Linked DNA regions of Saccharomyces cerevisiae S288C. The protein of the gene in region 1 binds, or shares a complex with, the protein of each later gene. Each region holds a gene or a part of one and is shown in the gene's direction. Other genes may lie near its edges. The genes, in order: CTF18, RFC2 and RFC4.

Evidence for each region.
Region 2: CTF18 (region 1) and RFC2 share a complex: the UniProt entries of both Saccharomyces cerevisiae proteins name them as parts of the CTF18-RFC complex.
Region 3: the proteins of CTF18 (region 1) and RFC4 are in contact, whole or in part, in a cryo-EM structure (PDB 8TW8), measured with the Saccharomyces cerevisiae proteins. Residues at the interface, in NP_013795.1 of Saccharomyces cerevisiae: Asp394 (codon at 2,729), Ser395 (codon at 2,732), Lys416 (codon at 2,795), Phe419 (codon at 2,804), Leu428 (codon at 2,831), Trp462 (codon at 2,933), Phe465 (codon at 2,942), Leu468 (codon at 2,951), Met469 (codon at 2,954), His476 (codon at 2,975), Glu479 (codon at 2,984), Leu480 (codon at 2,987), Arg482 (codon at 2,993), Tyr483 (codon at 2,996), Leu486 (codon at 3,005), Gln493 (codon at 3,026); in NP_014547.1 of Saccharomyces cerevisiae: Asn148 (codon at 2,459), Glu152 (codon at 2,471), Gln155 (codon at 2,480), Ser156 (codon at 2,483), Val267 (codon at 2,816), Phe271 (codon at 2,828), Ala278 (codon at 2,849), Gln279 (codon at 2,852), Val280 (codon at 2,855), Lys281 (codon at 2,858), Glu282 (codon at 2,861), Ser283 (codon at 2,864), Arg285 (codon at 2,870), Leu286 (codon at 2,873), Ile289 (codon at 2,882), Lys290 (codon at 2,885), Ile292 (codon at 2,891), Gly293 (codon at 2,894), His296 (codon at 2,903), Met297 (codon at 2,906), Leu300 (codon at 2,915).

The regions. Positions count from the first base shown.
Region 1 is NC_001145.3:422,003-426,277, reverse strand, and holds CTF18 (Ctf18p), read left to right. Parts: upstream 1-1,549; coding exon 1,550-3,775; downstream 3,776-4,275. Other genes in the region: phosphatidylinositol/phosphatidylcholine transfer protein SEC14, read right to left, coding at 219-1,124, 1,281-1,289; ESCRT-III subunit protein VPS20, read left to right, coding at 4,129-4,275. UniProt on the Saccharomyces cerevisiae protein: Essential for the fidelity of chromosome transmission. Required for the DNA replication block checkpoint.
Region 2 is NC_001142.9:565,820-569,254, forward strand, and holds RFC2 (replication factor C subunit 2), read left to right. Parts: upstream 1-1,823; coding exon 1,824-2,885; downstream 2,886-3,435. Other genes in the region: phosphatidylinositol kinase-related protein kinase TOR1, read left to right, coding at 1-1,009; YAE1 (Yae1p), read right to left, coding at 1,200-1,625; nucleoside triphosphate pyrophosphohydrolase HAM1, read right to left, coding at 2,987-3,435. UniProt on the Saccharomyces cerevisiae protein: Component of ATP-dependent clamp loader (RFC and RFC-like) complexes for DNA clamps, such as the POL30/PCNA homotrimer and the checkpoint clamp DDC1:MEC3:RAD17 complex.
Region 3 is NC_001147.6:141,084-144,572, reverse strand, and holds RFC4 (replication factor C subunit 4), read left to right. Parts: upstream 1-2,017; coding exon 2,018-2,989; downstream 2,990-3,489. Other genes in the region: YPQ1 (cationic amino acid transporter), read right to left, coding at 1-369; TRM10 (tRNA (guanine(9)-N(1))-methyltransferase), read right to left, coding at 877-1,758; HMI1 (ATP-dependent 3'-5' DNA helicase), read left to right, coding at 3,226-3,489. UniProt on the Saccharomyces cerevisiae protein: Component of ATP-dependent clamp loader (RFC and RFC-like) complexes for DNA clamps, such as the POL30/PCNA homotrimer and the checkpoint clamp DDC1:MEC3:RAD17 complex.

The DNA.
Region 1 (4,275 bases):
CAGATAATAAAATAATAAATAATCTAATAGCTGAGTGGAAGAAAAAAAAAAAATAAAAAAAGAGTAGTACAAACTAAGGAGATAAAAGTGTGAACTATGCCTATTCAAAAAAGTAGAATAGAGTAAATAAGCATACTTGTACTTATCTCAGTTGTAAAATATCGTTACTTAGAACTCCTCTTTTCTCTCTCGAAAAAAAAATGTCTTTAAAAATAATATCATTTCATCGAAAAGGCTTCCGGAGCTTCACCTTCCGGTCCAATATACTTTGGATCCCTCCATGGACCGATATCGGATAGGTATAACCCACCCTTGGATTCATCAACTTCAGACTTACCGCCAAATTTGACTGGTAAGTTTTCAGCTGGAATTTGCTTTAATAATTCCTTCTGGTAAGAAGAACCCAAGATAAAAATCTTTGAAACAGTGACTGGATCCAAGAAAGGTTTAAATAGCCTAAATGCGGTAGAGAAACCGAATGGCGCGTTGATGATGTAAAATTTACCCATACGTTCGGGGTAATAGTTTTGACTTATGTAGGAGGCTTCCCTAACATATGACATAACACTGTATGCACTAGATATGGAGATACCTTTCAAATCCATAATTGTACATGAAGTTTCCACTAGGTGACCAGCAGCTCTTGAACAGGCAGGTAATCTGTATTGAACGACAGATTCGTATTCCCAAACCAAGTTTTTCAACATCCTCTCTTCAGAGGTAACCTTGTTCATTTCATGTAAGTTAACAGCACCTAATTCTTCAAAATATACTGGGCGGCCATCTTTATCGGTTTTATGATAATATTGTGGGTAGAATTTGGCAATCAATGGTTTTTCATCATAATGAAAATCTTGCAAGATAGTGTCGGTACCATAATCCTTCCTCCATTTTTCGCAGTTTTCAAACATTTCTTTAGCCAATTGAACATCAAATTTTCTGGCTCTCAAAAAACGTAGTAAAGTTGAATCGTCTAAACGTTCAATGAAACCAGCGTCTTCCAAAAGTTTTCTTAGTTCTGCCAATGCCTTCTCTTGAGCGCTGTCTAAATTTCCTGGAGTACCAGGCAAGGCATCTGGAGGACAGTTTTGAGGGTAGGATTCTAAAAATTCCTTTTCTTGTTGCTATTTAAAGTGAAGTCATAGTAATACCACTTGTGTTTGTTAGTAAACTTATTGATATATCATTTTTGCTTCATATAGACAGAACTATCTGAAGAATGTGAATATTGTCACAATGAATGTCAAAAAAAGAAAAAGTAAATAAAAGCAACAACATACTGTAACCATTGTGTTTTAGGGCGATGAAGGTTTGGTTTGATGCTACAGGCGCTGGTCAAGCGATATACCAGGAAAGGACACTTAAGACACAAACAAAGGAAGATGTACCATTTTATTGTTGATCAACGTTGAAAAAAAAAATGTGGAAAAAACGAACTAGCCAGTCGCGTTGTACGGAACATCTAACACGTAAATAAACATGATTTCATATATTTTATTCCTAATGTGTACACTATTTGACCCAAAAGGTGGATGTAAGGTCAGGGATCATGGTTGATACCGCACCATACATTGGTTCACTAGGGAGAAGTTCCCTTTTTGATACTGGTGATATAGAACAAGCCCCTGGTAATAATGCAATTGGTATTAATGAGGAAGATATTCACGCGTTTGTATCAAGTACTGGCGAAACGGTTCAATTAAAGAAGAAGCCTGCGAAGTTAGCAACCGGGAATATTAGTCTATACACTAACCCAGATACTGTTTGGAGATCAGACGACACGTACGGCATCAATATAAACTATTTGTTAGACAAAATTGAGGCATCTGGCGATGACCGCACTAACGCACAAAAGACTTCACCTATAACTGGCAAGATAGGTAGCGACACACTCTGGGTAGAGAAATGGCGTCCTAAAAAATTTCTAGATTTGGTTGGTAATGAAAAGACAAACAGGAGAATGTTAGGTTGGTTGAGACAATGGACGCCGGCTGTGTTTAAAGAGCAATTACCCAAATTGCCAACCGAAAAAGAGGTCAGTGATATGGAACTCGATCCATTGAAAAGGCCACCAAAGAAAATTTTACTACTGCACGGGCCACCAGGAATAGGCAAAACCTCAGTAGCTCACGTTATTGCCAAACAATCAGGGTTTTCTGTCTCAGAAATCAATGCAAGTGATGAAAGGGCTGGACCTATGGTAAAAGAGAAAATATATAATCTTTTATTCAATCATACTTTCGATACAAATCCTGTGTGCTTAGTGGCGGATGAGATTGATGGAAGTATTGAGAGTGGATTTATTAGAATTTTAGTTGACATTATGCAAAGCGATATTAAAGCCACTAATAAACTATTATACGGTCAACCAGATAAAAAGGACAAAAAGCGCAAAAAGAAAAGGTCTAAATTGCTTACGCGACCTATTATTTGTATTTGCAATAATCTATATGCTCCTTCTTTGGAAAAGCTGAAACCATTCTGTGAAATTATTGCTGTGAAAAGACCTTCCGATACTACCCTACTAGAGCGATTGAACCTTATCTGCCATAAAGAAAACATGAATATTCCTATAAAAGCAATCAATGACTTAATTGATTTGGCTCAAGGTGACGTAAGGAATTGTATAAACAATTTACAATTCTTGGCCTCGAATGTTGATTCAAGAGATTCCTCTGCATCAGATAAACCTGCTTGTGCAAAAAATACGTGGGCGTCATCCAACAAGGACTCCCCCATATCATGGTTTAAAATCGTGAACCAATTGTTTAGAAAGGATCCACATCGTGATATAAAGGAGCAGTTTTATGAATTGCTAAACCAAGTAGAGCTTAATGGTAACTCTGACAGGATATTGCAAGGCTGTTTTAATATATTTCCCTACGTAAAATATTCCGACAATGGTATAAGAAAGCCAGCAAACATTTCAGATTGGCTATTTTTCCATGATTTAATGTACCAATCAATGTATGCGCATAATGGCGAATTGTTACGTTACTCCGCCCTTGTGCCCCTAGTCTTCTTCCAAACGTTTGGCGATATCGCAAACAAAGATGATATTAGAATGAAGAATAGTGAATACGAACAACGTGAATTAAAACGAGCCAATTCAGATATAGTTAGTCTGATTATGAGACATATCTCGGTTCAGTCCCCACTAATGGCAAGTTTTACGGATAGAAAATCGTTAATCTTTGAAATACTACCATATCTAGATTCGATGATCTCTTCCGATTTTAATAAAATAAGGAACCTGAAACTCAAACAAGCCATCATGGAGGAATTAGTTCAATTGCTGAAAAGCTTTCAACTGAATCTAATCCAAAATCGGTCAGAAGGATTTGATGTAAGGGGTGGCCTAACAATCGATCCCCCAATCGATGAAGTCGTATTGTTAAATCCTAAACATATTAACGAAGTCCAACATAAACGGGCTAATAATTTGAGTTCACTGTTAGCAAAGATTGAGGAAAACCGGGCCAAGAAAAGGCATATAGACCAAGTGACTGAGGATAGACTACAGTCACAGGAAATGCATAGCAAAAAAGTCAAAACTGGGTTAAATTCTTCCTCAAGTACAATCGACTTTTTCAAGAATCAGTACGGATTATTGAAGCAAACTCAGGAATTGGAAGAGACACAAAAAACTATTGGATCAGACGAAACCAACCAAGCAGATGACTGCAATCAAACGGTTAAAATATGGGTGAAATACAATGAGGGGTTCTCTAACGCTGTCAGGAAAAATGTGACTTGGAATAACCTGTGGGAATAAATGACGTAAGATATATACGCAGTCTCTCTTAAGAAGCATACTTGTATATGGACCAGCAGCTTACATAGAAATCTAAAAGAAGTAAATAAAGAACATTAGCAATCAATCCTGCCGGTAGTCGCAACAGCTCCGATTTTGTCACGCAGCGTTCGTTTTTTATTCGTGATCTTTTACCCTCTTCGCTATCGTTCTTATTTCTACATAAATGGAACCCCGAAGAGCAGAAAGACCGAAAATCGAATTACTATCTGTGGGATACAATATAGCGCATAGAAAAGAACAAAACATAGATAGTTTGGAAAAATAGTACAGACTGCTGAATTAACTCCACTTGGTGCTTTTGTATATATCGAATGGGCCAAAAAAGTAGTAAAGTGCATATAACCAAAACAGATAGGGCGATCCTAGAAGTAAAACGATCTAAAGATGAAATTCATAAGTTTACGAGGAGGACAGATAATTTGATTTTGGTAGAGAAGAGTCAACTAAAAGACCTAATA
Region 2 (3,435 bases), on another chromosome or scaffold:
TATGCAATTATTTGGTCTAGTTAACACTTTGTTGAAGAATGATTCAGAGTGTTTCAAGAGACATTTGGATATCCAACAATACCCGGCTATTCCATTGTCGCCTAAATCTGGTTTACTAGGATGGGTACCAAATAGTGACACATTCCACGTTTTGATCAGAGAACACCGTGATGCCAAAAAAATTCCGTTGAACATTGAACATTGGGTTATGTTACAAATGGCCCCCGATTATGAGAATTTGACTCTTTTACAAAAAATTGAAGTATTCACGTACGCTTTAGATAATACAAAAGGCCAAGACCTTTATAAAATATTATGGTTAAAGAGTAGGTCGTCAGAGACATGGCTAGAACGTAGAACAACTTATACGAGATCTTTAGCAGTTATGTCCATGACTGGTTATATTCTGGGACTAGGTGATCGCCATCCAAGCAACCTGATGCTAGATAGAATCACCGGTAAAGTTATCCACATTGATTTCGGCGATTGTTTTGAAGCTGCCATCTTAAGAGAAAAGTATCCAGAAAAAGTGCCATTTAGACTAACTAGGATGTTAACATACGCAATGGAAGTTAGTGGAATTGAAGGCAGTTTCCGAATTACTTGTGAAAATGTCATGAGAGTCTTAAGAGATAATAAAGAATCATTAATGGCGATCTTGGAAGCTTTTGCGCTTGATCCTTTGATCCATTGGGGATTTGATTTACCGCCACAAAAACTTACTGAGCAAACTGGAATTCCTTTGCCGTTGATTAATCCTAGTGAATTATTAAGGAAGGGGGCAATTACTGTCGAAGAAGCGGCAAATATGGAAGCAGAACAACAAAATGAGACCAAAAACGCCAGAGCAATGCTTGTTTTGAGACGTATTACAGATAAATTAACGGGCAATGATATCAAGAGGTTCAATGAATTAGACGTCCCTGAGCAGGTTGATAAACTGATCCAACAAGCCACTTCTATTGAAAGGTTATGTCAACATTATATTGGATGGTGCCCATTCTGGTGACTGCGGTGTCATTTTTCATTTCGTGCTTTGTTTACTATTTATTTTTTTTGTATTACGCATTTGTATACGTGTGCAAGTATTGTGTATTATTATTATTATTATCATTATTTTTGTAATATCTCGTCATTATGTGAAATGAAGGATGATATAAGGTACATAAATTGTGAAATCAACTCCATTTAAAACAACTTTATTGGATAGATGGCACATGGTACTTTTCACAATAGGTATTGGCAATATCAGTCCATTTTGTTATGAGCGGATGTTTTTCTTGCAAGTCAAAGTTTGGATCAAATATGGACTTACTAAGTACTTTGTTAATGCGTAATTCTTTTTGAGCATCAATATATGCCTTACTGAGGTCCTCATCTTCATCACCAAAACGTGTTCGTAGGCCAAGTAAAATCCCCATAATTATGCCAACTTGTTTCCCTAATTTAGCGCCCGTTGGGAAACCATCATTGAAACCCTCTTGCAGCTTTTCTTCTTTAGAACTCACTATTCCGTCCAAGTACCCCCTCTTGCTATGATTCTCTCTTAACTTCACTAAATCTGGAGATCGTTCAGTTTCGACATCACTGTCTGATGCCCATACATCGTCCCAAGTATTCGACATCTCTATATACTATTGTAACACTGTTCCTTTTTTGTTCTCTTCTATCAAAAACCTTTCTCATCGTTATTTTTCACTCTTTTACTTCGCGTATTTCAAAGCAATCAGGAAGTAACTCAAGCGAACAAGTCAATGCTATAAGAGAAGTAAAATAGAGAGACAGCGAGAAATACTGGGGGAAAGTATTGGCAATCACTTGAGATGTTTGAAGGGTTTGGTCCAAATAAAAAGCGTAAGATATCAAAGTTAGCCGCAGAGCAATCATTGGCACAACAACCCTGGGTTGAGAAATACAGGCCCAAAAACCTAGATGAAGTGACAGCTCAAGATCATGCCGTTACTGTTTTGAAGAAAACCTTAAAGTCAGCTAATCTACCACATATGTTGTTTTATGGTCCCCCAGGAACTGGTAAAACGTCTACCATTTTAGCGCTAACAAAAGAATTATATGGACCCGACTTGATGAAATCAAGAATATTGGAGTTGAACGCTTCTGACGAACGTGGTATCTCTATTGTAAGAGAAAAGGTAAAAAATTTTGCAAGATTGACTGTATCCAAGCCTAGCAAACATGACTTGGAGAACTATCCGTGCCCACCGTATAAGATCATTATTCTCGATGAGGCCGATTCAATGACTGCCGATGCACAGAGTGCATTACGTAGAACAATGGAAACCTATTCAGGAGTAACAAGATTCTGTTTGATTTGTAATTATGTGACAAGAATTATTGACCCGCTAGCGTCCCGTTGTTCCAAATTTAGATTCAAAGCCCTAGACGCAAGTAATGCCATTGACCGTTTGAGGTTTATCAGCGAACAAGAAAATGTTAAATGTGATGATGGAGTTTTGGAAAGGATCTTGGACATTTCGGCAGGTGACTTGAGAAGAGGCATTACATTATTACAATCCGCTTCCAAGGGGGCGCAATACTTGGGTGATGGTAAAAACATAACTTCTACCCAAGTGGAAGAATTAGCTGGTGTGGTACCTCATGACATTCTAATAGAAATTGTTGAAAAAGTCAAAAGTGGTGATTTTGATGAGATTAAGAAATACGTCAATACGTTTATGAAAAGCGGTTGGTCTGCTGCGTCAGTAGTTAACCAACTACATGAATATTACATCACCAACGATAACTTTGATACGAACTTCAAAAATCAAATATCTTGGTTGCTGTTTACTACGGATTCCAGATTAAACAACGGAACGAACGAGCACATCCAATTATTAAACTTATTGGTTAAAATATCCCAACTCTAATATACAGGCATCTTTATATAATTGAATATAGAGGCGACATAAAGTAAGAATAAAAAAAAAAAAATCTATCCATAATTCCTCTTATCTTCTCAGCACATCACCTAAAAGTCATTTTGATACAAGTACTCTTTAAACTGAGCGAAGGCTTTACCACGATGAGAAATAGCATTCTTTGCGTCTTTGCTCATCTCTGCGTAAGTCAGTCCATGACTATCAAAAGGTTCAAAAATTGAATCCCAGCCGAATGTAGTGGGTCCCCGGCTTGGAACGATCTTGCCTCTTGTAATACCTTGAAAGAAGTGATATTCACCCCGAGAATCAGCAAAACAAATGGTGGTAACTGCTTCAGCGTTTTTATTTTCAAAGGGTTCCAACATTTTCACAATTTTTTCCAATCCCATGCTCTTTAAAAACCATTTTATATAAGCACCTGGTAGACCGTTAAATTCGTCAAATCTCAACGCAGTGTCTTCCACAAACACTGGCTTACCCTTACCCAAGGCCGCAACAGCTTGCTTTCCCTTAGCTAACGCAATGGCATTCAGATCCG
Region 3 (3,489 bases), on another chromosome or scaffold:
ATTGAACACATCGTGCAGAACGTTTTCGTTTATTGGATTGGCAGGGGAGAGATGAATAGGGTCTACTGCTGGTTTTTCCTCATTATCGTACCATAGACATTGACCTAGTAAAATGATATCTGCCACCGTATAGTAAGCAGCAAGAATGATCATGGTAGACAAAAGATGTTGCATAACGGCACCCATAAGGTTAAAGACATCGCCGGCCAACCAAAGTACCACGAACAATAAAGACAGCCCATCAGACGACTTCCGGTAAAAGTTCTCGTAAATTTGAGGGACAAACACAATGATCCAGCAGGAGATGGAGATGGACCCAGATATCCCACTTAGAGTGGATCTATTCAATTCTAGCGGCACAAGTTGCATAATTGAGGTCGTCGAGCGATGTGGTAGCTTTTTTTTTGTATGGCATTCTTTCGTTAGCAGTACATATCATCGCGAAGACGATTAAAGTACGTAGTGAATAAAAAGACGATATGTGAAAAATTGCAATCCGGGTAAAAATAAAAGAGTCATTAAGAGCAAAAATGACCATATTAGAGAATTTACAGGTAAAACACATACAACATCAAAGCAAAATAAGCAAAGAGAAATAAGAAGTATCCTCCCACGGCCCTACATTAGATTTGGACCTCTCGGACACTAAGATTGGTGTTGTTAATATTAAAAAGGGAATGCCATTTAGATTTCGAGTGGAGCCAGTTTCGGCGGCTAATGTCCAAGTACTATGATAAGCATAAACACCCTTTGAAGAACTACTACCAGTTGCGCATGTTTAACCCGTATCTCTGACATCAATATACACCTATTGTAGCTACGGAGACTATTACTATTTTGCTATTCAGTTACTAATAATACTACAGTGATGGCTGCCTATGTGTCCTTTGGAGCTGGCGAAGAGCTTGCGGATTTTGCTTCCGCATCCAGCTTTCTGGGTGGTAAAACGCTTTCAAAGGCATTTTTCCAGTTATGGTCATCAAAGTATTTCAGCATGAGTTGCACGACGTGCGTTGTCGTCAACACTCTTCTGCCTTCGAGATTGATGTACTCGTCAATGGGCAATCTTCGCGTAGGAATGCCCATCTTTTGGGCCTTCTTCAGACACAATTCTTTATAACGATTCTTGTCTACAATGCCGCCAACAATGTATCGCATCCCGGGTTCCAGCTTCTCCAGCTTTTCCTCTGTATCGGCCGTTAAATACACTATTTTGTCCTTACTTATATGCTCATCTCCAAACATGATTTTGTCGTCTGGTAGGAATTTAAAATGGTTCCAGTTTTCATAATTGGTATTTTTCAGAGTAGTTTCAAACCTTTGCTTTAGTCTTTTGTCGAATGGGGCCACCTTTATTTCTGCAAAATGGTTCGCCCTTCTATTCGCGGAGTATGCCCTGGTGACCTGGTTAGACAAGCTTACTATTTCCTTGTCGTTCATTAACTCATCAAAAGAACAGTCAAGTATGATCTCTATCCCAGAATCAGTCTGATTCACATTGATACGAGGCTCTCTAATCAATTCCTGCGGGACCTCTTCTCCCCTGTCAATGTATTCTTGAATCTTCGCACTTCTTTCATGGCGAAGTCTCTTCTTCTTTACACGGCGTTCCGCATTGTATTTGGCTTTATTCTCCTCCCATCTCTGTCTTTTACACATTTTTTTCCATTGCTTTTTAGACATGCCTTCTGGCACAGGCGGTAAAGGTGGTGTTCTTTTCACCTTTTCCTCGTTCTGGTTTATCTCATCATTGGACATGTTGTTTTGCCTGCAGATTGACACTTAATTATTTACCTTGAAAGCTTTACGCTATATTAAACATCACCATCTCTCTTAAAGACAATGAAAATTTTTCATTACCACATCACACTGTTAGATTAAACGCGTTTTTTCTTGACAAAAAGGTGGGAAAACCAACCACATATTTTAAATACTGTAAAATAGTAGCATTTATAAATCTGATTGGATCTATTATAACATTGCAGAGCTTCCCAGAAGATATAAAAAGTCCCTTATAATGTCCAAAACTTTATCTTTGCAACTTCCATGGGTTGAGAAATACCGTCCCCAAGTTTTATCTGATATAGTCGGTAATAAAGAGACCATTGATAGACTTCAGCAAATCGCTAAAGATGGTAACATGCCCCATATGATCATATCAGGTATGCCAGGTATAGGTAAGACCACTTCGGTACATTGCCTTGCTCACGAGCTCCTTGGCCGCTCTTATGCTGACGGTGTTTTAGAGTTGAACGCTTCAGATGACAGAGGTATTGATGTCGTCAGAAACCAAATAAAACATTTTGCCCAGAAGAAACTACATTTGCCTCCAGGGAAACATAAAATCGTTATTCTTGATGAGGCGGATTCCATGACTGCTGGTGCTCAGCAAGCGTTGAGAAGGACCATGGAGCTATATTCGAACTCTACAAGGTTTGCATTTGCTTGTAATCAATCAAACAAGATCATTGAGCCGCTGCAAAGTAGATGTGCGATTTTGAGGTATTCTAAACTATCCGATGAAGACGTTCTAAAACGTCTTTTACAAATCATAAAGCTAGAGGATGTTAAGTATACAAATGATGGGTTAGAAGCAATCATTTTTACAGCGGAGGGTGACATGAGACAGGCCATAAACAATCTACAAAGTACAGTAGCAGGACACGGTTTAGTGAACGCAGACAATGTCTTCAAAATTGTTGATTCTCCTCACCCTCTAATAGTGAAGAAAATGTTACTAGCCTCCAACCTAGAAGATTCAATTCAAATCTTAAGAACAGATCTTTGGAAAAAGGGTTATTCCTCGATTGATATCGTCACAACATCTTTCCGCGTTACCAAAAACTTAGCACAAGTGAAAGAATCAGTAAGATTGGAAATGATAAAAGAAATCGGTTTGACCCATATGAGAATTCTGGAGGGTGTTGGAACGTACTTGCAACTGGCTAGTATGTTAGCGAAAATTCATAAACTAAATAATAAAGCCTGATTTAAATATCCGAAAACTATAAAAAAAACTCCCATATTAGTGCATTACTTTAAATTCTACTTCTTTGTCTTGTCTCTTCCCTTGTGATGTGTCAGAATTTTTTTTTTTTTTTCATTTTTGCACAATTTAAGCTTTAAAGTTGTTTGTTGATCAAAACTTACAACTCGCAGTGCAGTTACATAGTCATAATATGTAGAAAAAATATAGAGAAGGTATACGTCGTTCGTTGAAGACAGATGGACAAGCTAACTCCATCTCAATGGAAGGTAATAAATAAGTCATATGAACCAGCGTCTACGATAAAAGTCATTGCGGGCCCAGGCTCAGGAAAAACGCTAACGCTACTATATAAAGTACTACATTTAATTACTGTGGAGAATATTAAGCCTGAAGAAATACTTATATTTTCGTTAACAAACAAAGCAGTTGATAGTATAATAGAAAATTTACTGTCCATTTTCGAAAACTCGCATACAAATAAGGAAATTGTCCATCAGATT